2 linked regions of the Astyanax mexicanus genome follow. The protein of the gene in region 2 interacts with the protein of the main gene of each other region in a biochemical or structural test. Links are inferred from orthologs where the notes say so. Each region holds a gene or a part of one and is shown on either strand. Other genes may lie near its edges. The genes, in order: bnip2 and arhgap1.

Region 1 (11,897 bases), on a different chromosome or scaffold from region 2:
TGTGGTAGCGACCGACTCCTGTTGCTCAAAACTAAGGCAAAAAAAGACATGCAGACATCAAGGCAATTGATTACAAACCACTGCCTCAGGTTCCATCACTCTCCATAGTTTAGCACATATTACACTCACAATAGAATCCAATAGGCTCGTCGAGAATAAAGACAAGAATCAACAACAGAAGCCTTAAAGTGAGTCATAGTTGCTGCTCCACCTGAATCATAGTGTTGTGCTAATTCTGAATTGGCCTATGACGTCAAGCTGGCTGCTCTATTACCTAATATGGCTTCTGCATTTAAGAGTCTAACAAGCAGAGAATTAGGGCTTAGCTTATAGAATATAAAAATTGCTTAACTAAATTCAGGCAAGTGTACTAGCACAAACAGGAATTTGTATGAGCCTCTTTGATGTAGTAATCCCAAATATTTCTGCAAACAAAGTCTCAAAGTACTTTATGAACAACAAAATTTGCTTACAAGTTAATAAAATATACCAATACATCCCCCCTATACTGTGACTGAAAAAAAGAAATGTCACAAGAAATCTTTTCATACAGCTTGAAATGCATTTAGTCTTAAAAACAAACAAAAAAACACTCTGGGTCATTTTTCTAAAGCAGGGATCAACATATCAACAGATTAGTAGTTCTTTCGGGTTTAAATCAAAGCACAGTTGCAGTCGACTATTTGTAGGACTTTTTGTCTGAACCATGTTGTTTAAAAGACTCACAAATCTGTTTCTGAACAACGAAGGAAGACTAAAGTAAACAACAATACACTGATGTCTGGAGCAAAAATAGGCTGGCAAATAAATTGAATGATATCATTCCTATTTTCCTTTCCAGCAGAGCCAAGTCAAGGCAATTAACACACTTGAGAAAAAGATTAGTTGCACAAATAATCAGGATTTAAATGTGAACAAAGATCCTGTTGATGCTACACTGTCAGAATTAAATCCATATTTTAGCCACATGCTTTATCGTCAAATGTGTCTTGAGTTGATCAGACAAAAATCTGATCAGTGTGTGACACAAAACATGCAATCTCGCTACATTACTACTGACGTTACAGTTGCCCTGAGAGGTGTGTTGGTTGATGAATGGTTTGAGTGAATCTTTAATTAATATTAAGTGTGTTCACACTTGCATTTTTAAGTGGATTGGCCTTATTCAGATATAATCCTGAGATCCAAAGACGCATGAAGTGAGCAGATGAGAACAGCATCAAAGTAAATTTCAGGTTCACTCAGACCCTGTTTACACCAGGTCACTTCATGCAAAAAGTATCTGGAGTGGATCCAGATAAAAATTTAACCAGATGCATTTACACTTAGTGGTCAAATGCATCTCTGGTAGCTGGACTGAAATCAAACTGCTGTGTGGAATGGAATATACAACCCATATGCTTATTACAGGGCAAATGGTTGTTCATACATTTAGCGCTTCCTGTGCAGCGCTAAACATTGTTTCCTAACTGGGAAACTGCAATTTTCCAATGCCATTACAATGCCATACTCCATTCTTCAAAGTTAGGGGAAAGCAACAGCTTCAGCAATCAATTCTTACAGGCAAACAATCAATCAGACTAATCAACTCAGAAATGCACTGCATAGGAAGAAGTATGGATTGTTGAATGAGTCTTAGAGACATGTGTCTATAACATGTGGCTTAAAAGCTCCTCAGAAGTGTTCAAGTGATCGTATTTGTTTCATGTTGTTTCAAATGTCTCTTGGATGCATTTACACTTTTATGTGGCTTAGCCATATACAGATACAAACCCGATTTCTGATTCTCAGGAGAAATGAAGTGACCAAGAGGTAAACATGTTCTTAGACTTCAGAGCTAAATATATATATAGAAGAATTACATATGTGCAAGCCATTTCCTGTCTTTACATAGCAATGATAAATGTTAAAAACCTTTCATTCTCCCTGCCACATATGATTTTATAGCACTGATACTGTGAGCAAGAAGTCTTTACTATTAGAACCATGTTATTAATGAATATATCAGTATGATAACATTAACATGTATACACACACAGAGAAGATAATGCAACAGTATGTATGGTTCCTTAATCATGAAATATAATTAAAAAAAAATAAGTAACTTTTCAATCAACTCCCAGACTCGTGTTTAAATGCAGCAGTGCATGAAACAAAGAAAATAAGGCATGAAGCCATCTAAGGTATTTAGCCATTTCAAAGGAAGTCACTCAGATGTGAGTGTGGGGGACCACACAAACACTAGTTGACTGTCGTGCACAGCTAATTGCTATGCCATCTGTGTAGTGTTACTCTTGCTTTTCAAGGGGGACGTTTGTAATCATTCACACTAACCTTCGCAACCGACAAGAGCCCAGAGTGCTGAGTAAGCACAGTCAATAAAATTAAACAGTCCAAGACCCCTTGGAAAAAGGGAGTTTGATATCATGTTTTTTTTAGAGACACTACGGCTTTTGATACACAGTATTAAAACAGCATCATGTAGCTTAACTGTGCAGATTTGAGTAAATGGTCTGCATACAGCACTATCTTTAGAGAGAAGGACATCAGACTTTAAACACATTAATTTTCATATGTTCAAGAAGACAACAAAGCAACTGACAGTTTTACAGTGTACTTGTCAATGTCTGCACATTTGTCTGGGATCAAGTTGTTTACCCTTTGAGAGCTAGGGGGGTGGGGAGTGGGGGTTGCACTGAATAGCTGACTTCCTATTTTCCACTGAAAGCTGTCTTAACCTAAAATGACACCAGCGAATGCAGTTCTACCTCAATTTTTAAAGTAAAAACTAAAATTAAAGATTTGTGTGTAATTTTCACTTGAAAATTCTCATTTCACATATCAGCTATTAAATATCTAATAAGGTTACAATTATAGAATAAAATTATTCTAATTACTCACTTCACATATCCTATTTACATGGTATTTGATATTTGGAATTACAGTTTGCAATAAGTAGAAACATATAGATTTCTGAAATCTAGAGTTTCTATTTGCAAAAGTTACATTATACAAAATGTAAACAGTTTTACTTGTAAAAAATGAGTTTTTAAATCTATGTTTATGCAAACAGTACAAATTGTAAACCCTTGTATATCTAACCTATCTAGTTATGCTCTCTGAATGTGTTTCTTTTTATCTTGTTTACCTCTGAAAAAAAAAAAAATAAGAGACCACTTTTGATTTTACCAAATTGAAACACTCTGGAATATAATCAAGAGGAAGATGGATGATCACAAGTCATCAAATCAAGATGAACTGCTTGATTTTTTGCACCAGAAGTGGCATAAAGTTCCAAAAGCAGTGTGTAAAACTGGTGGAGGAGGACATGCCAAGATGCATGAAAACTGTGATTAAAAGCCCAGGGTTATTCCACCAAATATTGATTTCTGAACTCTTAAATCTTTATGAATATGAATATATGCTGCATCCTTTTCACAAATAATTAAAAAGATGCAGCATATGTTCATATTCATAAAGTTTTAACAGTTCAGAAATCAACATTTCTCTTTTACTGCAAAAAAATGCTCTAAATGGCTATTTTTTGGAATTTGGGAGAAATGTTGTTTGTAGTTTATAGAAAAAAAAACAACAATGTTCATTTTACTCAAACATATACCTATAAATAGCAAAATCAGTAAAACTGATTCAGAAACTGAAGTCGAATCTGTAGTTGACGGGACACTTGCTCGCCTCAGCTCTGAAAAGGTAGTCGGGTTAGCTTTTAAACTTCAACCCCGGAGGCTAATAGCGCTATAAGTTACCTTCCATTGTGCTCCACGGGTGAGCTCTGTGCCTGTGGTAGTTTAACAGGACTCGAGGGCTGCTGGGTCCGTGTCCTCTCCTGGTTTCCTCCATCGTGCGGAGCTGCAGTTTCCTGTAGCGGGTCTCCTGTTTTTGTGGGCCTGTTTTGGGCTGCTCTGTCCCCGTTCTCCACAGACACCACGGCGGCCTTACTCGCACCGTTTCCCGGTTCAGACGGTGACGAGTGGAGACCTGTCGGCTTGTTTTCCAGCGTTTCCAGTGTCCTGGGTGTGTCTGACTCGGAGCTGCTTTTGTTCATAATCACAGCGGCTGTAAGGTTACCACTTTGTTTTAAGCCTCCTTCACCCTCAGTCACATCTGTGGCCATAGGGGGTGGACAGTCAGGTTAAAAACGCAATTAACTAACTAGCTAACCTACTGAACAACAATAATAAAAACCTCCTTCACCAAGCAGTGCGTGCCCAGTGTGACAACTGAAGCCCAGCAACAGACACAGACAGCTAGGGGAGCTAGAGTAGCTAACGCTAGCTAACTAGCTGGCTAGCCAAAGTCAGCGAAACAACTCGCACCGTACAAATAATCAAATCTTCACCCACCTAACCTAACGCTACTCCTGCCAAACATCGAGCCAGCCGACTTTAACTGTGTAAACTTAGTTAGCTAAATACAAACTACTTGGCAACCAATTTGTGTAACAATAGCATAGTTCAAGAACTAAACAACTCTCCAAACAAACTTCCCGAAAAGTGTCTCTTCCAGTCCGCTCCGTGGCCCCGCAGTGCGCAGGCTCCCTTCTTCCCCTCCTTCCTTCCTTCCTATCGCCGATCCACAGCACAGCCCAGCCCGGCGCTGACTGACAGCAACAGAGCAGCGATACACACTCAAAACCCCGCTCACCGAGACCCACAACACCTCATTTCACACACCCGCTCTCCGTCTACACAGTTATGGTACCCAGTTAACCGCTGTCTGACTCTGAAACCTCTCTAAAAGTCTGTCAGGAACATCATTTCCTGACCGTCCACCGCAGCAGCTCCGCAGTTTCAGGGACTCTCCGGTATAACGCGAACTCAACTATACAGCGCAGTGTTTTCACCAACTCCCCACTGCCGCACTTCAAAACAAAAGTCCTACAGCACATGGAAAGTATGATACTTTTTAAATTTGATTTGTTACTTGCTGCTAATAAGTCACTCTTAATATATTTAAGTATTGATATTTAAGTAATAAAACACTCATTTGCAGGGATCTGGTATGGATTCAAATAATTATTGAAAAGCGATATGTTTCTTTACCCACTTAAAACCATTCAAATATTTTATGCAGGTGATTCAAATAACTGTTACTATTACTATTATTAGACAAATTTTGAATCTAGCATATATTTAAAAATATGGAAAAGCACCCACATACTATTTTGCGTTATTTTGACGATTCGAATTTTCTTAAAATCGTTTTAATCAGTTCTTAGAAAGATTCGAATCTTCAGAAAAGTAGTTTAAATCAGTTTTCAAAAATGATTCGAATCTTTAGAAAAGTAGTCCGAATCAGTTTTCAAAAAGATTTGAATCTGTAGAAAAACAGTTTGAATCAGATTTTCAAAAAGATTAGAATCTTTAGAAAAGTAGTCCGAATCAGTTTTCAAAAAGATTTGAATCTGTAGAAAAACAGTTTGAATCAGTTTTCAAAAAGATTAGAATCTGTTGAAAAGTACTTTCGAATCTTCAGAAAATCTTTAGAAATCTTTAGAAAAGACTACTTTTCTAAAGATTCGAATCATTTTTGAAAACTGATTCGAATCTTTAGAAAAACAGTTTGAATCAGTTTTCAAAAAGATTTGAATCAGTTTTTTTTTTCAAAAAGTTTCGAATTTGTAGAAAAGTACTTTGAATCAGTTTTCAAAAAGATTCGAATCTGTAGAAAACTAGTTTGAATCAGTTTTCAAAAAGATTCAAATTTAGGTTGAATCTTTTTGGAATCTTTTAACATTTTTTACTGTTAACTCCTCATAAGGGGTTGGATTCAAATAAGTTTAATTTCTGTATGTGTAAATTCAGTGTATATATCACTACTCCACTCCTTACACATTTTAACAGGTGAGTGTAGCCTTCAAAATAAACAAACCAACATATATTTGGTATTTATATATTTACTGTTTAAGGTGGAAGGAACACTTCTAATAAGCCAGTGTTGGTGTAATTGTGTGAAAATAGAGGCAGCTTTTAAGGTGGCACAGAAACATTGAAGAATTCAACTAATCATTTGACGAATAGAATTAAAAAGGGAAAAATGATCACGTTTAGACTGCTGTTCCCTGCGAAATTTTTCAGCGTTTAGAGCCCTTTAGCACTAACTAGTATTATGCTAATATCCGATAGCGTGCAGCTTCCTGTGGTGCGTATTCACATTTCATAGCAGAACCAAAAATTTCCCCTCTGTTTTGCAGTTTACAGGGATTCCTAATATTTGCTCTGGGATGTTATAGCAAGCCAATGTTGTCTGATAACATTTTAGGAGCCGCCTAACTCAGTAAATAGCTAGCACTTTCAAAGGTCTGGAAGATGTTTGGTGTTGTGCTTGTGTGCTTGTCGGTTCTCTATTTGGGTGCTTTTCCATTTTATGTTTGTATACTTGTATACAGAAAAACTGAGACATAACCATTTAGTTTTAACTTTTTGTTTCATTGTTGTTTGCTAAACTGGGCATATCTTCTTTAAACGTTGTTAGCTATCCAATTTGCTTTGCTTTCTCCCGTTATCAACAAAATCACTTAATCTATACCATGCCATAAATATACAGCTCTGAGACCACTTCAGTTTCTGAATCAGTTTCTCTGATTTTGATATTTATAGGTATATTTTTTAATAAAATGAACACGGTTATTTTATTCTATAAACTACAGACAACATTTCTCCCAAATTTCAAATAAAAATATTGTCATTTAGAGCATTTATTTGCAGAAAATGAGAAATGGCTGAAATAACAAAAAGACACAGAGCTTTCAGACCTCGAATAATACAAAGAAAACAAGTTCATATTCATGTAGTTTTATGAGTTCAGAAAAGAATATTTGGTGGAATAACCCTGGTTTTTAATCACAGTTGTCATGCATCTTTGCATGTTCTCCTCCACCAGTCTTACACACTGCTTTTGGATAACTTGATGCCACTGTATTATTATAGTGGTTTCATTAGACAGTTCTTGATCTCTAAATTGCTTGTGCATTTAAATCACAGCTCTTGGCTTTACTGGTTGCTAGAATGTAATCTTGGTATAAGTTCCTATGCATAGTCTTTATCTGTTCATCAGGTTAGATGTGGATGATATGCCAGAAATATAGCATCTCCATAGTTTAGGAAGCATTCATACAGGATACACAATGTTTTACAATAGTGTAATTTGGTATAGAGACAGTGTCTGCACATTTGAAAGTACTGTAAAGCACATTGAGCCCAGAAAGCTTTTATTCAACGTTTTACTCACTTCACTGCTTTTAAATCCATTTAACCAGAGTATTTGGTGCTCTCTTTATCATAACCATACACATTATTACTGAAAAATAAAATCAGAAATGCATAGTGTGCCATCTTGATCTATTACATTTAAATTAAGTTTTTAAACTAAAATTAAATAGATTTTATTTATGTTGCCCAGCGTTAGATATCAATCAATACGAGTCTGTTTAAACTGTAAAGTTTACCAGTGTGTGGCAGTGTTACAACACAGTTACCTTTTGCTAAAAATTCCCATTGAGGGTCTGTGTCATCACGTACTCCCCACTAGATGGCAGCATTTGACTAAATAAATCAGAGTGTCTGTTCTGACTGTTTCACATACTGTAGTTTATACTCGATCATCAGTGATTATAGTTGGCTCAGTATCAGTAGGATAGATATCATGGTAAAAAAAAACCACAAAATAAATTAATAAAAAAACATTTTATAGTAAATAAATAAATGAAATGATTATAGGAATAAAGTAAATGAAGTAAAAGGAAATTCTTATCACTACTATGTAGTATTTAAGGTGTTGCATCAATTTCAATTCAGAAATAAAATCCAGACCTGCTAACAAATTTACCAGAAATTGTTTAGATGGAATTAAATTAAATCATTTGTTTAAAAAAATTGATTATTTTTAATTTAGTAATTTTTAAATTAATTACTTGATTAGGAACACATATATCACATTGTCATATATATATAGTCATAAATATAATTACTCAACAGACAATTCTGTTCAGTTTAATTTATGTATATCAAATCTACAGTGATTCTCATATCACTGCAGAGTTTTCTCCACTCTCCACTCTTCTGTCACGCAGCACTCCGGTGGCCTCCAACAGTGAGATAATTAGGTGAGGACAACAACCTTCAAGGCATAAACCAAGCATGCTCTTGCGATCCAAACATAACAAAGGATTAGATGAAAATGGGTGTAGAAACAGACTAGAGTATATCCAAGCTTCCATTTTCTTTTTACTAATTCATTAAAGGTCAGCATTGTATCTGCTTTAATTTGTAATTTCATTAACAGTTAATTTGCATTAAACCAGAAATAAAGGGAACATGCAAGATATTGTACATTTTTAAAATGATGTATAAATAATGTAAATGTAAAAACATGTATTAAAGTACTTAAAAAAGTACTTCAATGCAACAAAACAGCCTTTAAAAAAGAAGATGCAACACAAAAAAACAGGTGCACACTACTGCAAATATTCTATCATCCCTTAATTTATGTGTGTGTGTGATGAAATCTATGATTTATTATTCTTGTCTTATTATCAAATGAGCTTCGTTCATGCTGCATGATGAGAACTAGCAATTAGGGTATGCAAATGAGCGAGGACTACAGCAAGCGTTCTGTAATTTCTTGACAGATGAACAAAGAGAAAAGTGCACGGAGCTCTTATGGCTTTGCGTCTGTATTTTTTAATCTTCCTGCATTTACTGCCTCATCATGCCCTGGTAGTGCTTTTACTAATGCATAGTTCAACTCTACTTTAGAGAAAGAATATTTTGATCTGGGCATGGGTGCATCTTTTTTGTGATTTTTTTTTGGCTAAACCAAACGTTGTTCTATAACACCCTGATACCTCAACTGTGTGCTTAGGATCACTCTTTATAATCTCTAATTAACACGCTGCTATTTGCACTGTCTGATCAAGCGTCCTCGCTAACTAAGAGATAATCCGATCAAATTGAAAGTTTACAATACCTTTTCATCTCTCAGTGTGCTGGTGTTTGCCTTGGCTTCATATTGGTATAATTCACAAATAGAGGCCAGTGTAGACTTTGAAGTCCGGGGGGTTGCATACAAATGTGTCTTTCCAAGTTCTGACACAGTTATTCAGTTATCCGGTGCGTTGGATTGTTGGCCTTGCCTTTCTCATTAACTAAAGCAAATTTACTTACTGAAGCACTGATGTGCTTTGAAGAAGATACAGCAAACAGTGGTAGTGATAGTAGATAACAGAGGCTCTGTGATATTTGTAGATCAATAGGGAAACCAGCGAGACCCCACCTAAGCTAACAGTGTCCAACTCTCTAGTACATACAGTGTACTTCCTTTATTTAATGAACTGACCTTTAACTGCTTAGACCTACATACAGCAAATACAATTATTGTATTTCCAGACTACTGTGCAGTAAAATATGTGTATGTGTGTTCTTTACAGATGCTACCTTGTACCGAGCTGCCTCTTGTCAAACATTTGGAGCACTGGAGTGTGTGTGTATAGATGTGCGGTGGAGAGATTGAGAGACAGAAAGAAAACAGATGTTCCGTGGGATTTGATTCACTTGACAATGGAAGTAAGTATCAGAGCCTCTCTCTCTCTCTATTTCTCTCTCTCTTTCAGTTAGTGTTCTAAATTTTTCAAAAGCAAACTTTCTTTTCACAGAGTCGGGGCATGAGTTCTGCACCAAAATGTTTGATGTTCTTCTCATCTGGAGCAGAGCGAGATGCAGTGAGTGCTTAATTTATGAGGACATAACAAGGAAGCTATTAAGCAAACATATTTCCCAGCTTCAACTGGCATGAAAGAAGCACTCAGGGCAAGAAAGCCAGTAGTTTGGTTTTCAAAAGATAATTGCCTAAATGTTTACAAGTAACTGCTACTAAGAGATGAAATTGCAATAACAGCTTTAAGAATGCATCATCCAGTTTTGAAGAAAAAAAAATACCAAACAAAAACTGTCTGAAATGCTTGTGTGAAACACACAAATGTACAAATGTACCTAGAGTGAAGGTGACACACAATTTTGAAGGGAGGGTGCTCCGTTTTGTTCTCTTTTCTTTCTCATAGAAATCTCTCTTTTTCTTTCTTTTTCTTGAATAACAAGAGGCTATAACCCATTTGTGCACCAGTATGGCAGAATAGAATATCCAATTTCCACAAGTGGAGCAGTGGGAAGTATTTAGGCTACTTGAAGTATATCTCTTAATGAGAAAAGACAAAAAGGAATCCATGTGCATGTTTTATGCAATCTGTTTCTGGGTGCACATGAATAATTATTTATGATCGCGAAGCCCTAAAAGGAAGGCATGGAGCAAGAGAAAGAGAAAAAGAACCTGGTAAAAAATTTAAAAGGAGACGTTAAATGAATATTTAAGGGAAGATGAAATATTTAATGGAAACAAATGAGCAAAACATTTAAAGCAGCATGATAAATAATAGTGGGTTTCGTAAGGAAATCGCCCTCCCCCCACTACACACACACACACACACACACACACACACATATGCATGCATGCACACAGATACACTTCTTTGGGTGGAATCAAACAAGCAATCACTGGACACAGTTTTGCCACAAGGCCCTCAGAATTCATGCCACGCATAGGCTGGTGTCTGATCCCGGCCACGGCAATTTGTTTTCCATATGGCAGTCGTTAGAGGGGTTCGATGGGTCTGCAACTTAGCATGCGTGGCCTGGCACATTGCAGAGGAATATTAGCTTTTTGTCCAGAGCCGTTTGGATGGATGCCATAGGCCAGTCAGGATTTAATGCCTCCGCTGGTCTACAAGTCCCGGGCAGGACGTTGGCATCGGCAAATGGGAAAGATTATATATATTTTTTTATGCCAGACGAGGACATTACATTAGGAAACTAAATGAACTCAGAAAAGTAAAGCATAGGGTATAGTTCAATTTCACACAAAAAATAATATATATATGTATATATATATATATATATATATATATATATATATATATATATATATATATATATATATATATATATATATATATATATATATATATATTCTATTTCAAGACATTGTCCAGAATTCTTATTCATTCATTCATCATAAAATTCTGTGTATTTTAACATGTTATGTACACCTTTATGCTATGTTCTATGCATTGATTTGGGGGGCGGTGGGCTTGGATTGAAATGGTTTGTTTCTTCTAATGTTGTGTTTCTCAGAAAATCTATAAACAATATCAGTAACAGCTGCCAGATTCCAAATATTTTAAAACAGCAAAGACAGAGATGAGAAAGTATTTGTTTATAAGTACAGCTTTAATAATACATTCTAATTCTTATTTCCTCAGGATAACACTTATGATGTCTATCTTCTGAGTAAGGCTAAACACTGGCCGTTGTGCTCATGGCAAGTCCATGTAATTTTTCTATGTTTTTATGCGGCCTGATAGTGGGTGCCAGATGGATAGGACACTCAATCTCTGAAGATGTGCAGACATCTAACATTTCTTGATGTGTCTCAAGTGTAATGAGAATGAGAAATTGAAGGCATTACTACCCACAGTGGACAGGGCAGTGGGTAGCAATGATTATGTCTGGTGGCATCTGGCTATTATTGTCACATCCACGATCCAAATTTGAAATTGCTGTAACTCCAACTAACTGTCGTAACATTTATATATATGTTTTTTATGTTGGTAGTTCTATATCATTAAACAAAATTCTCAGATTTAGAGCATGTTTTGTACTGTACATGTACTGCCACTGGCTCCAGCAGTGCCTTTACCAGCCAGGCTTGTTTTCATGTTGAGTCTAGTTTCTGAACCCTAAAGGCTGCTGGTGCATTTCTGATTAGTACTTATACGCAAGTCATCTGAGCTTTAGGGAGCTGCGGGGTTACTGCAGATGTTTCCTTGA
Region 2 (12,845 bases):
GCATTTCAGACACACATTACTGAAATGTGTTTATTCTAAGCTTTCTCTGAGCCAAAAGCTAATAATGTCTTTGCTGGCTTGAGGTCACCTCGCTGTTTCTCTCAGTCTAACCACTGCTGTGCTCAACATCATTCACCACAAACTGCTGCTGCTGCTGCTTTTTTTGCTTATTCTCGCCCCAAATCACACATCTAACCACACAAAGTGATAAGTGCTAACAAGGTAAGAATGCAAGTAGCAGGTCTACTGCATAAAAAAACACCGATATAAGGTTAAGAACAGTCCCTGTTTGTCTATTTTAAGTATAGAATGGTATTAGCTTTTGATCATCACAAACAACAGTGTAATCAATCAACTCACTGCAAATGTCTTGCTGTAAAATGAGTTAAGGCCCCTTTAAATCTGAGGAGCGTGAGTATGTGCATGCCTCTGGCCGTAAGGCTGAAAGCACGAGCGCTTGCTGGATTCAGATACTGATCTGCTGTGACATTTCTTTTCTTTATATATCGCGGGCATGCAGAGGAGGGAGCAGAATTGTGGCTCAGTGGCTGCCCAGCTGAGCAGAAACAGCAGCTTCACACATCAGTGCCACTTAAACGCAGTCCATCTACCATCTTGCCATTGCCAACTGGCACCACAGACTGCCTGAGCACGACTGCAGTATCTTCAGATTAAGAGGGTGCTGGTCTATAACCGGCTACTCTCAGATTGCAGAGTTATAATACGTATGGTGAACAGCTTTAAATGCAGAAAATTATGCAGTAATTCTTATCCTTAACATGCGCCATCATATTTAGAGTTCTTTTCAATGGTACCAGTGGCAACCATGGGTTTCAATGTCTAAAATGCTAATACAGCCATTCGATTAACAATCTAAGATGAGCAGTAAAATCACATTCTGTTGTAATGTTGTAATGTAATTTTGTCCAAATGTTTAGGGACACCCAAATAAACGCATTCGGCTACTTTAAGTGGCACAAAAATCTTGCCTAGTCTCTGTATAAAAAAAAGTGCCAATAGAAATGGTCAAACTAGAGCAGACAAACATGAACCTGTTGGCACAATGCCTAATGCCAGGTGTGAACTTGAGCGGTAGGTACAGAGTTCTCCATCATTGTGCTTTGGAACATACTGGTATAGTTGGAGTTGAGTAATGAGTTGGGGAGTTGTGATTGAGAAAATGTGATGTGAACATCCTGATCACACTAATTCTCTGGTCATATAAGTCAACCCAAACTCTGACTACAATGCTGCAATAAGGTGCACCATACATTTTATCTGATGTGCTTCACCCACTAGCATTATGTCAACATTAAGATCTGAGCACAGGAAGTACTGTTTGTCTACAGTTGTTTGGGTACCCTTTGTGCATGACTGCTTCCTTGGTCTAATAAAAGAAAAGTTTCAACACCAACTTTCTGTGGCGAAACACCAGACAAAGGGGGAACATTTGCAACTAAAAATAAATGGCCATTAGGTTTAGTAGGTACAGCAGGCTGCACTTGGGAAGCGTGAAGGGACGGAAGGGTGTGTTTCTTCTCATGCACTATTCTGCACAGGCAGTTATAAACAAGGCGAGAATGGTGAACGCTTATCACAAGCATTACATTATTGGTTAGATCCTACTGGTTTCATTAAACATACTGAGATTCTTTATATCATAAAATAGAAAGAGGCAAAATTGCAATAGTGTATGGCAATTGTGGTAAGCTATATTTTCAATTTCTATTTGTTTTTGCTCAGATTGGATCTTCACAATTCACATTCATAAATGTGAGTAACATGTATCTGTCCAATGTGAACAAACCTGTCCATTAAACAGTAAGCATGGCACACTAAAATGTTTATCCAAATTGACCCTGTAACTCTGTTTTTTTTGTTTGCTGTCAATTAAATATATGTCATAAATCACAAGTATAATCTGTGGTGTTAATACCTCATGCATGTAAAAGGCGGTCAGAATACAGATTCTGGAATTTCTCAACACTGGTTCTGGCTGATAGCTGGAAACAGGCCCAAATGCATGTGCACTAAGAAAAAGATGCATATAATCTGACCTGACTGCTCACATTTGTGCCGCATGCCCACAAGTCTTATACATATCGTATATGTATTAGTTCATGCACCACATCCATATCATATTAAGGCAATTCCAGTTCAACCTGGAAATATACGAATATAGCGATAGTTGATATGTAAATGTAACAATGTAAATCTTTTTTCTCTCACAATATTTTTGGGCCACTTGCCACCCTTTGGCACATCCCATGCTCTGCTCTCTTTCATTTCACAACTAATTTTAAAGCACAAATACTGCTATTCTTTCAGGTCTGTTTTATCAGCCTCAGTCCTTGATGCAGTTCAGCCCCACAGCATGCTCGACAGACACTTCTGATCTACTTTAGAGAAATGGGACCCACAAGTGCTGTGTTGTTTCTAAATTAAGTGTTAACACTTGAGAACTGTAAAAACAGCCTTGTGTTCCCTGTTGCCCCAGTTTCACATCTCTGTCCCTTTCATCTAGGAGTCATCCAGCTATCAGTGAATGAAAACGCCCAGTAAGGACTTTTTAGGTGGTCAGGAGTATTGTGTGTGTATGTATGTGTGTGTGTGTTCTGAAGCTCTCAGGAACATCATGTGATTTGACAGTGAGAAGAAAACCGAGAGCTGTGAAGAAAAAAAAAAACTACTGCCACCCTTTTTCTATCAAAGGAGGCAACAAAATAACACAGGAAGGTTTTACAAGCAGGACGGCAAATATCTGATAGGTTTACTTTGATAAGGCAGCTATCAGAAAACACTGCTTGGTCATTAACCACAGGTACACGTAAGGTCACATAATTGTAGAAAGCTGACTTCAAAATTCATGTACACTTTAAAAGTAAGCAAATAGCAAAAAAGCTAATGGTTATAGTTATAGACAGATTAGCAGCCAGGCTAAACACTGTACTTCTTGTTATTTTGATGCTTCAGAAATGATAAAAGACTTTGAAAAATATATTATTATAATAATACTTTAAATAATACCTCAGAATATAAAGTTTAGTATGTAAAATAATGTATTTTTTTTTTACCCCATTTCAAATTCCTGACTGTTTGAGGTTAAGTTAAAAAGCAGAAAATTGGGTGTCAATTATGAAAAGAAGAAATGGGTTTTAATTTTTTTTTTATATAGCTTTTTATTTCTGGACCTCAGAGTTAGGATTCAGAGTTAGAATTCTATCATCAGAATTTTGTTACAATGTGTAAAATATAAAAATCAAGAGAACATTACTTCTGTTAGCAAAAGGCAGAATTTAAAAACTACAAATATGGGATGAAAACTCAATTCATCTTCACTATAGTAGCTACATTTAAAAAATACATGTTTTACACCTAATATTCTGGTTTTAAATTTAGCCCCAAACAGAATATAAACATAACTAACTTACATTATTAGCTAAACCTTTAGCTAGAAAACTAACTTAATTTTAGCCGTGGCCTGCTTTATCCGATGTTCAGTGTCTGAAATTACTGTCACTTACTAACTAGCTAACTTACTTGTTGATCCACAAATTAGGCAGTGTCATTGTACACGATTTTTTATTTAACAAACAACAGATATTTAAGACGTTTTTGTCCTTCTGTAGCTAGGGAAACTGAGTCAATAACAGGCAGTTAGTTACCTTTAGTTAGTAGGTTATATTACCAACGCCAATACGATTTATAAAAAGGGTTACCATAACCCAGACACTGCAGCAACTGCACTCTCCAGTTCTTTACTTTATTAATTATAAACATATTTTTTAGCTAGCCAATTTAGCTAAACATGTAGCTAGTTGATTAGTTAGTTAACACTAGCTTGATAGTGTTGTTGTTGTTTTCCTGATTAGCTTAGCTAGCTAACGTTAACTATCCAACTTAACTATGTAACGTTAGCTAGTTAACAGGCATAAACCTACCCAGTACCCAAATAAACTTTATCCTTTAGCTAGCTAACCTAACTAGTTACAAGTGGGACCATCTGAAGTCAGTCGCTGAAAATCCATGAAGTTCAAGTAGACCAGCAGCTAGGTTAGGTTAGCTGTCTAACCCCGGGTTAATTTGTCTATAACTGAGCCTCGTCCACAGAGTTAACGCTAACATTAACGCTAGATAACTTGGTAACACAGCTTTAAAAACAAGGCGTCCCAGTCGTGTTTGTTAACGGTTAGCTATTTAACTAGATTAGCTAGGTTAAACGCTATGGCCGAAAAAATCGTCTGTGTCACGTATATACAGTAGTTAGCTAGCTAGCGGACGCTGTCTGTCAAAATTTCAGCGAGTCTGTTTAACACCCACGTCCACACACTGCTCACTGCAGTAAAGACGGGCTATCTCTATCAACAGCATAGCGCTGTATATGAGTCTCTCAGCAGTACGAGCCCGAAAAGCTAAGCTAACTAAAGCTAAAGCCAGCGCTAGCAGGTTAACAGGGTTAGCCAGCAGCTTGTTTTGGTGTCCTGGTTAAAAAGCACATTTCAGTCCTGTTAAATTCGACACTATCTTAACTCCCCTACACGAACAATAACACCGTATACTGAAACAGGAACCCGTGCACACAGAAACCCGCTCCTAATGAAGAAATGAAAGCGAAAAGCTTTACCTGCTGTTCGGAGCCGCTGACTGAATATTTCTCCACTCTGACAATCAAGCTAATTCAAGCAGGGCTTCCGGCTGCAGCCTGTCACCTCACATTTCACCATAAAAGCTCCAGTTACTGCGGCTTTCTCCTGAGATACAGGTCCAAAACACCACTAATAAATACATATTTCAAATATTTATAGTTAATCAGCTGTACTTCTGAAAGGCAGAAAAGTGATATTTTTTATAAAGGTCAAAATTTCATACTAAAGCTTTAAGTTAACTAGCTAGCTAGACGCATCTGGATATTTTTGGATATACAGCTCTGAAAAAAAAAGAGACCACTTCAGTTTCTGAATAAGTTTCTCTGATTTTGCTATTAATAGGAATATGTTTGAGTAAAATGAACATTGTTTTTTAGTCATTTAGAGCATTTATTTGCAGAAAATGAGAAATGGCTGAAATAACAAAAAAGCAGAGCTTTCAGACCTCAAATAATGTAAAGAAAACAAGTTCATATTCATAAAGTTTAAAGAGTACAGGAATCAATATTTGGTGGAATAATCCTGTTTTTAATCACAGTTTTAATGCACCTTGGCATGTTCTCCTTCACCAGTCTTACACACTGCCTTTGGACAACTTTATGCTACTCCTGGTGTAAAAAAAATAATAATCAAGAAGTTCAGCTTGGTTTGATGGATTTTGATCATTCATCTTCCTCTTGATTATATTCCAGAGGTTTTCAATTTGGTAAAATCAAAGAAACTCAGAACTTTTAAATGGCCTTTATAATTTTTAAGGACTGTACATACACAGTATATTGCAACTACATTGTTATATCAAGGCACATGTTAAAAAATTACTGTTTACTATATTTAAATCTTCTGTATTTTAGCGAATAAGGGATTATTATTACATACATTAAATTATGGGTGGGTGTTGAGTTTGCATAAATTTGAAATCAGGGAAAATTCAATTTTTTTTTATTTGGATTTTATTAATGACAGCTTAATCCTTTACTGTTTTTAAAAACATATGTATGTGCTACTACTGTACACATATCCAGTGATGTCAGTAACGCGTTACTTAATAACGCGTACTCTAATCTGACTCATTTTTTTCAGTAACGAGTAATCTAACGCGTTACTATTTCCAATGCAGTAATCAGATTAAAGTTACTTATCCAAGTCACTGTGCGTTACTCTCTCTCTCTCTCCACCTCACACACACACACACACACCTCCGCTCTCCCCCAATCACACGCATCTCGCTTTCTCCCCTGTCTCTCTCTCTCGCGCTCGGCGTGTCTAGTTTCCTCCCATTCTCGTTTTTCCGCCAGTTCTCGGGCTCCCTATCTCTTTATAAAGGCGTTTTTTCCCGGCCGCGTCCCAATTCACTAGCCAGGGCAGCGGTCTGCACAGATCTGATTGGCATAGGAGAGTGTTTGAAGATTTACACTACACGTGATTGGTCTGCAAGTTTCCCGTGCCGCAGAGCGTGTATACCGTAAAGACAAGAAAAGTTCAGACGCTTTAAATGAACATTGTCAAAATTAAATCCTTCTCAGTAGTTTATCGGTTTGAGTCCGCATTGAACAACGTCTGGGTCCGGATCCGGACCGCAGTCCGCATATATGTGATCCCTGGGCTCGATCATATACACGGTTCTGTTTTATAATACCACTCCTTGCTGCCCTGCAGAGAACAACAGGTTCAATGTTCAGTTTTACAGTGTTAAATATGTCAGGTCAAGAAAGACTTTCAATATTTTATATTTCTTTATAAAAACAAGTATTTATGTTAAGTGAAATCAAGAAAGACCATATTTTATTTTTTATAAAAAAAATATTGATGTTAAGTTAATTCAAGATAAATGGTCTTTTATTTTTATATAAAAAACTTATTTTTTCAGGAAATAGTTCAACTTTAAATGTCTAGAGAAACATTGATGCTGTTAAAAATGCTTTTTCGAATAAAGGGAGTATTGGCAAAACTGGTTATAATTTTTATGTTAAGGCGGCGGGACGTGGTGTGTGCAGCTGCTTAAAGTAACTAATAAAGTAACTTGTAAAGTAACTTAGTTACTTTTAAAATCAAGTAATCCATAAAGTAACTAAGTTACTTTTTAAAGGACTAATCAGTAATCGGATTACTTTTTCAAAGTAACTATACCATCACTGCACATATCTAACTCTGTAATACTGTAAGGATATCTAACTTGACTTATACTAATCACGTTAAATGTTCACAGAAAAAAACAAACAAGTATGAATAAACTATTACAACAATGATATGATACACAAAACCCAAAACTTCAGTAGAAAAGTAACAGGAAATTTTACTGAGGAGAAGTATCAACTCTCAGCATGTAAACATACCCATGAAATTTCAAACCCTTAAGTTCACTTCTCCAAGTTTTAAAGTTAAACCCTCAGTTCAAGTATGTTAAAACTTAAAACTGTTCCCTATATTTTAGCTTTCTGTATTTTGGCAAATATGGGATTATTATTATTACTTTTATTAAGAAAAAAACATACCACTTTCAGATTAATCAACTTTTATTTGCACTTTTATTTCAGTTGGACAAATCCCAAAAAGAGACATATTTGGCTCTTGCATATTCATAAGGACATCAGTCATCATCTGCAGAATCTGATTTTTCAATGACCTTCCTCATCCAGCGGCGCATGCGGAACAGGTGGGTGTAAAATCCGTATTTACCATCCCGATCGCAGCCCTCACCCCACGACACAATACCAATCTGATACCAGCGATTGTCATCAGGATTCTGCAGATGGTAAGAGTGTATGTAGGATTTCAATCAAAAGTAACTTAATGTACTCATATAGAAACAATGATTTATATAGAAGTCCCCAGTGAAAGTCTGTAAATGTGAAAAGAATAGCATTAACAATAATCATCCTCTTACCTTCATTACAAATGGTCCACCACTGTCTCCTTCGCATGCATCACCTCTCTGTGTGTCCTCTGGGCTGTAACCTAAAAGAAAAGCACACAATTACAGTACAATTAATGCTATTTAAATTACACACTTCTGTACACAGTTAAAATATCCTTGTTTCAGGTAATGGTAGCTAGTGAATTTGTCTTTTATTTTTCTGTAAGATAATTTAGTTTGTTTCAAGAAATAACATAATGCTTATTTCAAAAATCCAGAATAAGAAAATATGCCTTCAATAATGCACAAGTACAAGATTGGTGATGCTTCAGCAATGACAGAAGACTAATATTAATTCTAATAATGGTTTTAAAATATTAGGAACCTAAGAATATTAAGTTTGAGATGTTAACTACTGAACGGTCATTGTAATGTTTATCATTGAAATGTTCTGATTCTTTGAGGTTAAATTTGAAAATTGTAATGATGTGAATAACTGCATAATGTTGTTACTGAAATGCAGAAATTTTCAGCTTCTTCTGGGACGAATGTAATGAGATTTGAACTCTTAATTTGTGAGCAGAAGTAAGTTAAAGTAAGAAGGTGGTACTTTTTGTTCACTATTACACAGGATTTCATTCCTTCACCTGCACAGAACATGTTGTCAGTGACACGGATTGAGGTAGACTTGCGACAGGTGTCCTGGTTCACAATAGGCAGGTGAATCTGCTGCAGCACTGCCGGCAGATTCTGTGGGTTTGATGTCCATGACTCCTTCAGGTTCCCCCAGCCTGTCACACGACCCTTGAAGCCCTCAGACATCAATCTATATACAGAACAAAGAGTTGGTATTTTTGCAGGTACTATTTTGAAATATAGAGCTCACACTACAAAAGAAAGGTTTTCTTACAAGTTTGCGACACTTTTGCTGGGCAGGCAGATAGGGTGGATTTCATTAGTGAAGGTGACAGGTTTCTTCATGTGCAGCAGAGCGATGTCCCTGTTAAGATTCTCCTTCCAGTTATATTTTGGATGAATAATGATCTCATCGATTGCCACAATCTTCTCAGTACCTCTCTCGTACCTGAATTATAAAGAAAACAATCAAGGTCTGTACAGACTTACTTTACCTTCACTACATGGGATAAAGTAGTGGGACACACGTCTTAATCAATGAATTCAGATGTTTTATTTAGTCACACTGCTAAAGATGTATACGATTAAGCACCTATCAATGGAGTCTGCCTTTATAAACTTTTCTAAAAGAATGGGCGGGTGTGAAAGGCTCTAAATTGAATTCCAGCTTGATACTGTAATAAGTTGATATCCTTCTAGATATTCCATGATCAAATGTGTGTGGAATTATTGAAATATAGATGTGTTTTGAAGTGTAAATGTAAAATTACACATTGTTTTTCTGACTCAGTAACTGCACAGCTCCAAACCTGTTGTTAGAATTGCAACAGGGGGGGACTAACAATATTAATTTATTTTGATTTAGAATAGAATGTGATACAGGCTTCTGTAGGTGTAATGTGTGGGTGTCCCAATATTTTTGTGCATACAGTGTATAGCTTTACAATTTTATTAGGAAGGAACTCACTTAGCACGATTGTGTTTTCCAAGGCGAACAAGAATATCATCAATGGTGAAGTTCTTGTTCCATGGTGGGTAAAGAATGCAGTGAGCTGCAGTGAGGATCCACTCATTACTGATCAAACTGGCTCCACACAGAAGCTCCTGAGGGCTACGCTTAAACAACATCACCTGCCTGTGGATCAAATCACATTACAAACACATCTTACAATAAAATCATTATGTACTGTGAGATTACCAAATAGGTAAATATAGAAAAAAATAGATATGAACTGTAATTACCATGGTGCACTTCCTACTTCAGCAGAAACACCTCCCACAATTCTTTTAGAATATGATTTGAGCAGTTCAACCTCCGTTCCATCTGCTTTACTTACTTTCTCAAATAGAGGGCGCACTCCACACTCTAAAATCAGACACAAGGACAAAATGAAATGATATAAGAAGAGCCAGACTTTAGCCATTAAAAAAAAGATGATGAACAGATCTAACTGAGATGATCCCTGAAAATAATTAACAGAGAAATTATTTAACAAAAGTAATCGAAGCTTAAGCTGGTTTCAAATCTTTTAAAATATGTCAGCTGTGCAAAACAAGTACATCTATTGCAAAACCTATATAAATACCGCTATTAATGTTGTAAAATTCATTAGTTTCAGCAGCATTTTCGAAGATGTATTTATTATTTTAGAAGAGTATTACATTTTAACAAAATCCTGTTGATTGCACAATGACTTGCAATAGGGAGAATGGTGTCTCAGTCATAACCACCCCAAACATAGAAAGGTTCCTAGCCGTCACAAGCAAACCGCATAAATCCTGTAATATTACTATTATGTGTGGACATGCTTCTTTTTATTGAGATATTGGTTCTGTATCTCTTAAATTGCAGATAAATGCATGTGTTCACCTGTCAGTGATTTTCAGTTTTCAGTTTGAAGGATGATGTTGCCCTAACACTCGCTCTACCGCCTAACAAGAATAAGGACACACTAAGTGGCACGGCCAAGGGAAAAATGGGAAAGGGCCTTAACCTTGCATCTAGTATGTTGACATGCAAATTTTAAGGAACAGAAACAAATGTCATGAACTTAATATCAGGTTATACTTACATGGACAGAAAAGTGACCAGTACTTTTAAATACCGGGTGGGCCCTTCTAAAAAATAGTGAACTGAGAATAAATACACCTCCTGCTATTGCTAAAATTTTTACCTTCTTCTCCTTGGCCGAAGCTGCGAGGGCTAAAGAAAGCAGTTCTTTTCTCTGTAGTGGTCCTCTTCCGATCAGAGTCCTGTTCTACCATCCCTACCAAGGGAGCATCTTAAAGACAAGAGAGAAGACATCTTGTTTGAGAAGTAAAAAAATGTTAATATTTTAATTTAATATTTTAGTAGACATTTGCAGTGTATTTAGTGTAATATGCATTTTTTAAATAATCATAGCAAGACACAAGCCAGGGTTATACATCTGCATCACACTGCAATATAAAAAAATGGGTGTGAGGTTAATTTGAGAAAATGGACAGCATTAATTTGGTGTACCTTCTTGTTGTGATCACCAGTAATAAAAGCACTTTTATCAGTACCATTGCTCACCACATAGCTCTAGGTTACAGTAATCGACAGTGATGGTTCCAGCAGCACTCTTCACATAGCACCATGGTCCCTCCAGATCTCCATCGGGGTTCCTGCAGTGGTTCTTCACTAGTTGTATATCTGGTTTGAACTCCTTCCCCACACTCAAAGCCTTCACCTTAGGCAAGTTCCACTCCAGGCAGGTGTGGCCACCCAGAGTCACAGACAGATCTCCAGTGTAAGTTTCTCCATTGCCAGCAATACATTTGGTCTTAGCATAGCGCTCCTCTATAGTCCCCACTTTGACGGTTGGAACTGGCTGCAAGGTCTCTCCTGCGGAACAGGGGAACAGCTGAAATATACCACTTCTACTGGTTGAACTTATAGACTAAAGTTATGGTTTATTGCACAAAATCACAGAAACAAATCCAACTGACAGAAATGTTCTTTTCAATGGTTTTTAAGTGTATTTACAGGAGATGTAAATATGTTTAATACTAAATAAAAAAATACTAAAACTAAAGCCAAAAACTAAATAATAATAGTCAACAAAATAAAAAATACAATAAAAATGTGCAAATTACATAAAACCTACAACATGTTTTCTTTCCAAGCTGTGACAGAAATTAAGCTACATTCTATCTAATTAAGCTACATCTATACCTGGATGTCCCCAAAAGTTTTCCTGCTCTAATAAAAATAAGAAAAAAATAAGAGACCACTTAAAAATTATGAGTTTCTTTGATTTACCTAATTAAATCAAGAGGAAGATGGATGATCACAAGCTAAGTTTTTGCACCAGGAGTGGCATAAAGTTATCCTAAAGCAGTGTGGAGGAGAACATGCCAAGATGCATGAAAACTTTTCTGAACTCTTAAAACTTTATAAATGTGAACTTGTTTTCTTTGCATTATTTGAGATCTGAAAGTTCTGCATCTTTTTTGTTATTTTAGTCCTTTCTTATTTTCTTCAAACAAATTGACAATATTTTATTTGGAATTTAGGAGAAATGTTTTCTATAGTTTTTAGAATAAAACAACAATGTTCATTTTACACAAACATATACCTATAAATAGCAAAATCAGATAAACTGATTCAGAAACTAAAGTGGTCTCTTAATGTTTTCCAGAACTGTGTATCTACAGTAGTTGTCTCACATTTTATCAATTGTACACACAGTACTGTTTAACTTCTACACCAAAGTCTTTGAAATAGAAATTATCTAAAGGTTTAATTGGAACCCAGTCAACCAGGGTGTAAGGTCATTTTTAGCTATACATCCCAATACAGTAAACGGTAAATGGAAAGCAGCATAATATTAAGTTTCAAAACATCACTGGCTGCTATAAAACCAATAAAGGAACTTAAATATAATATTACTAAATGTTTTATTATTTATTAAATAAAATTCTCAATGAAAACTCTAGACTAAGACTAACTACTGATATACTTAATGCCTCAAGACTGAGCTTAATATAAGAAACAGATGAAGCCCTTCACAGTTTGCTATATTATCTATGTTTGGGGTGTTCAGTGCTTTGAGTGAAGCATGCTTTAAGGTCAGTACCACATTTTGCCACTGCACATTTCTCCCTCCTGACAGTGGGGTCGCTGGTGAAGCACCAGGGTCCAGTAGGGCTCTTGTCTGGATTCCTGCAGAAGTTCTCAGGAAGTTTCAGCTGTGTTTGATTAATCTCACTGGAATGGAAAAACAATGCATTAAAATGGATCAAAAACTGTTTCACACTTCCAGTTTTCTCAAATCATTTTGACCTTTAATTTGAAATGAAAATATAATCTGTTTTTCAAACATACAAGTCTTTATGCCTTGAATACTATTTCCATGTTTTATCAATGACAACTACAGCTGTGAAGCTCAAGAGGTCTAGAGAAATAATTATACATACATGATTCTGTGGGGGAAGTTGCTTTTCCAGTATTGACAAGTCTTTCCAGATATAGTGAGGTTAACATCACCACTGTAGTGCTCACCAGTGTTGAGATAGCAGTGATCTGTACAGCACACAATGATCAACACATATATGAATACACGGCTCTACTAACTGAAGTAGTAGAAGTTGCCTTTATAGATTTTAGAGCATCAATGTTTCTTTATCTCAGAGCATCTTCACACCAGATTCCAAATCAATGTTGATGTATTTGATACACAGAC

Evidence for each region.
Region 1: the proteins of arhgap1 (region 2) and bnip2 form a complex in vitro, tested with the Homo sapiens proteins (2 studies listed by BioGRID). The link is inferred for Astyanax mexicanus from reciprocal best matches to the Homo sapiens genes ARHGAP1 and BNIP2.

What each region holds. Positions count from the first base shown.
Region 1 is NC_064409.1:57,085,392-57,097,288, reverse strand, and holds the start of bnip2 (BCL2/adenovirus E1B 19 kDa protein-interacting protein 2), read right to left. Parts: upstream 4,846-11,897; 5' UTR 4,133-4,845; coding exon 3,765-4,132; intron 32-3,764; coding exon 1-31.
Region 2 is NC_064430.1:14,454,428-14,467,272, reverse strand, and holds the start of arhgap1 (rho GTPase-activating protein 1), read right to left. Parts: upstream 4,727-12,845; 5' UTR 4,625-4,726; intron 1-4,624. Other genes in the region: f2 (prothrombin), read right to left, coding at 7,234-7,389, 7,531-7,601, 8,148-8,326, 8,411-8,584, 9,104-9,271, 9,379-9,502, 10,311-10,418, 10,694-11,005 and 2 more. UniProt on the Homo sapiens protein: GTPase activator for the Rho, Rac and Cdc42 proteins, converting them to the putatively inactive GDP-bound state. Cdc42 seems to be the preferred substrate.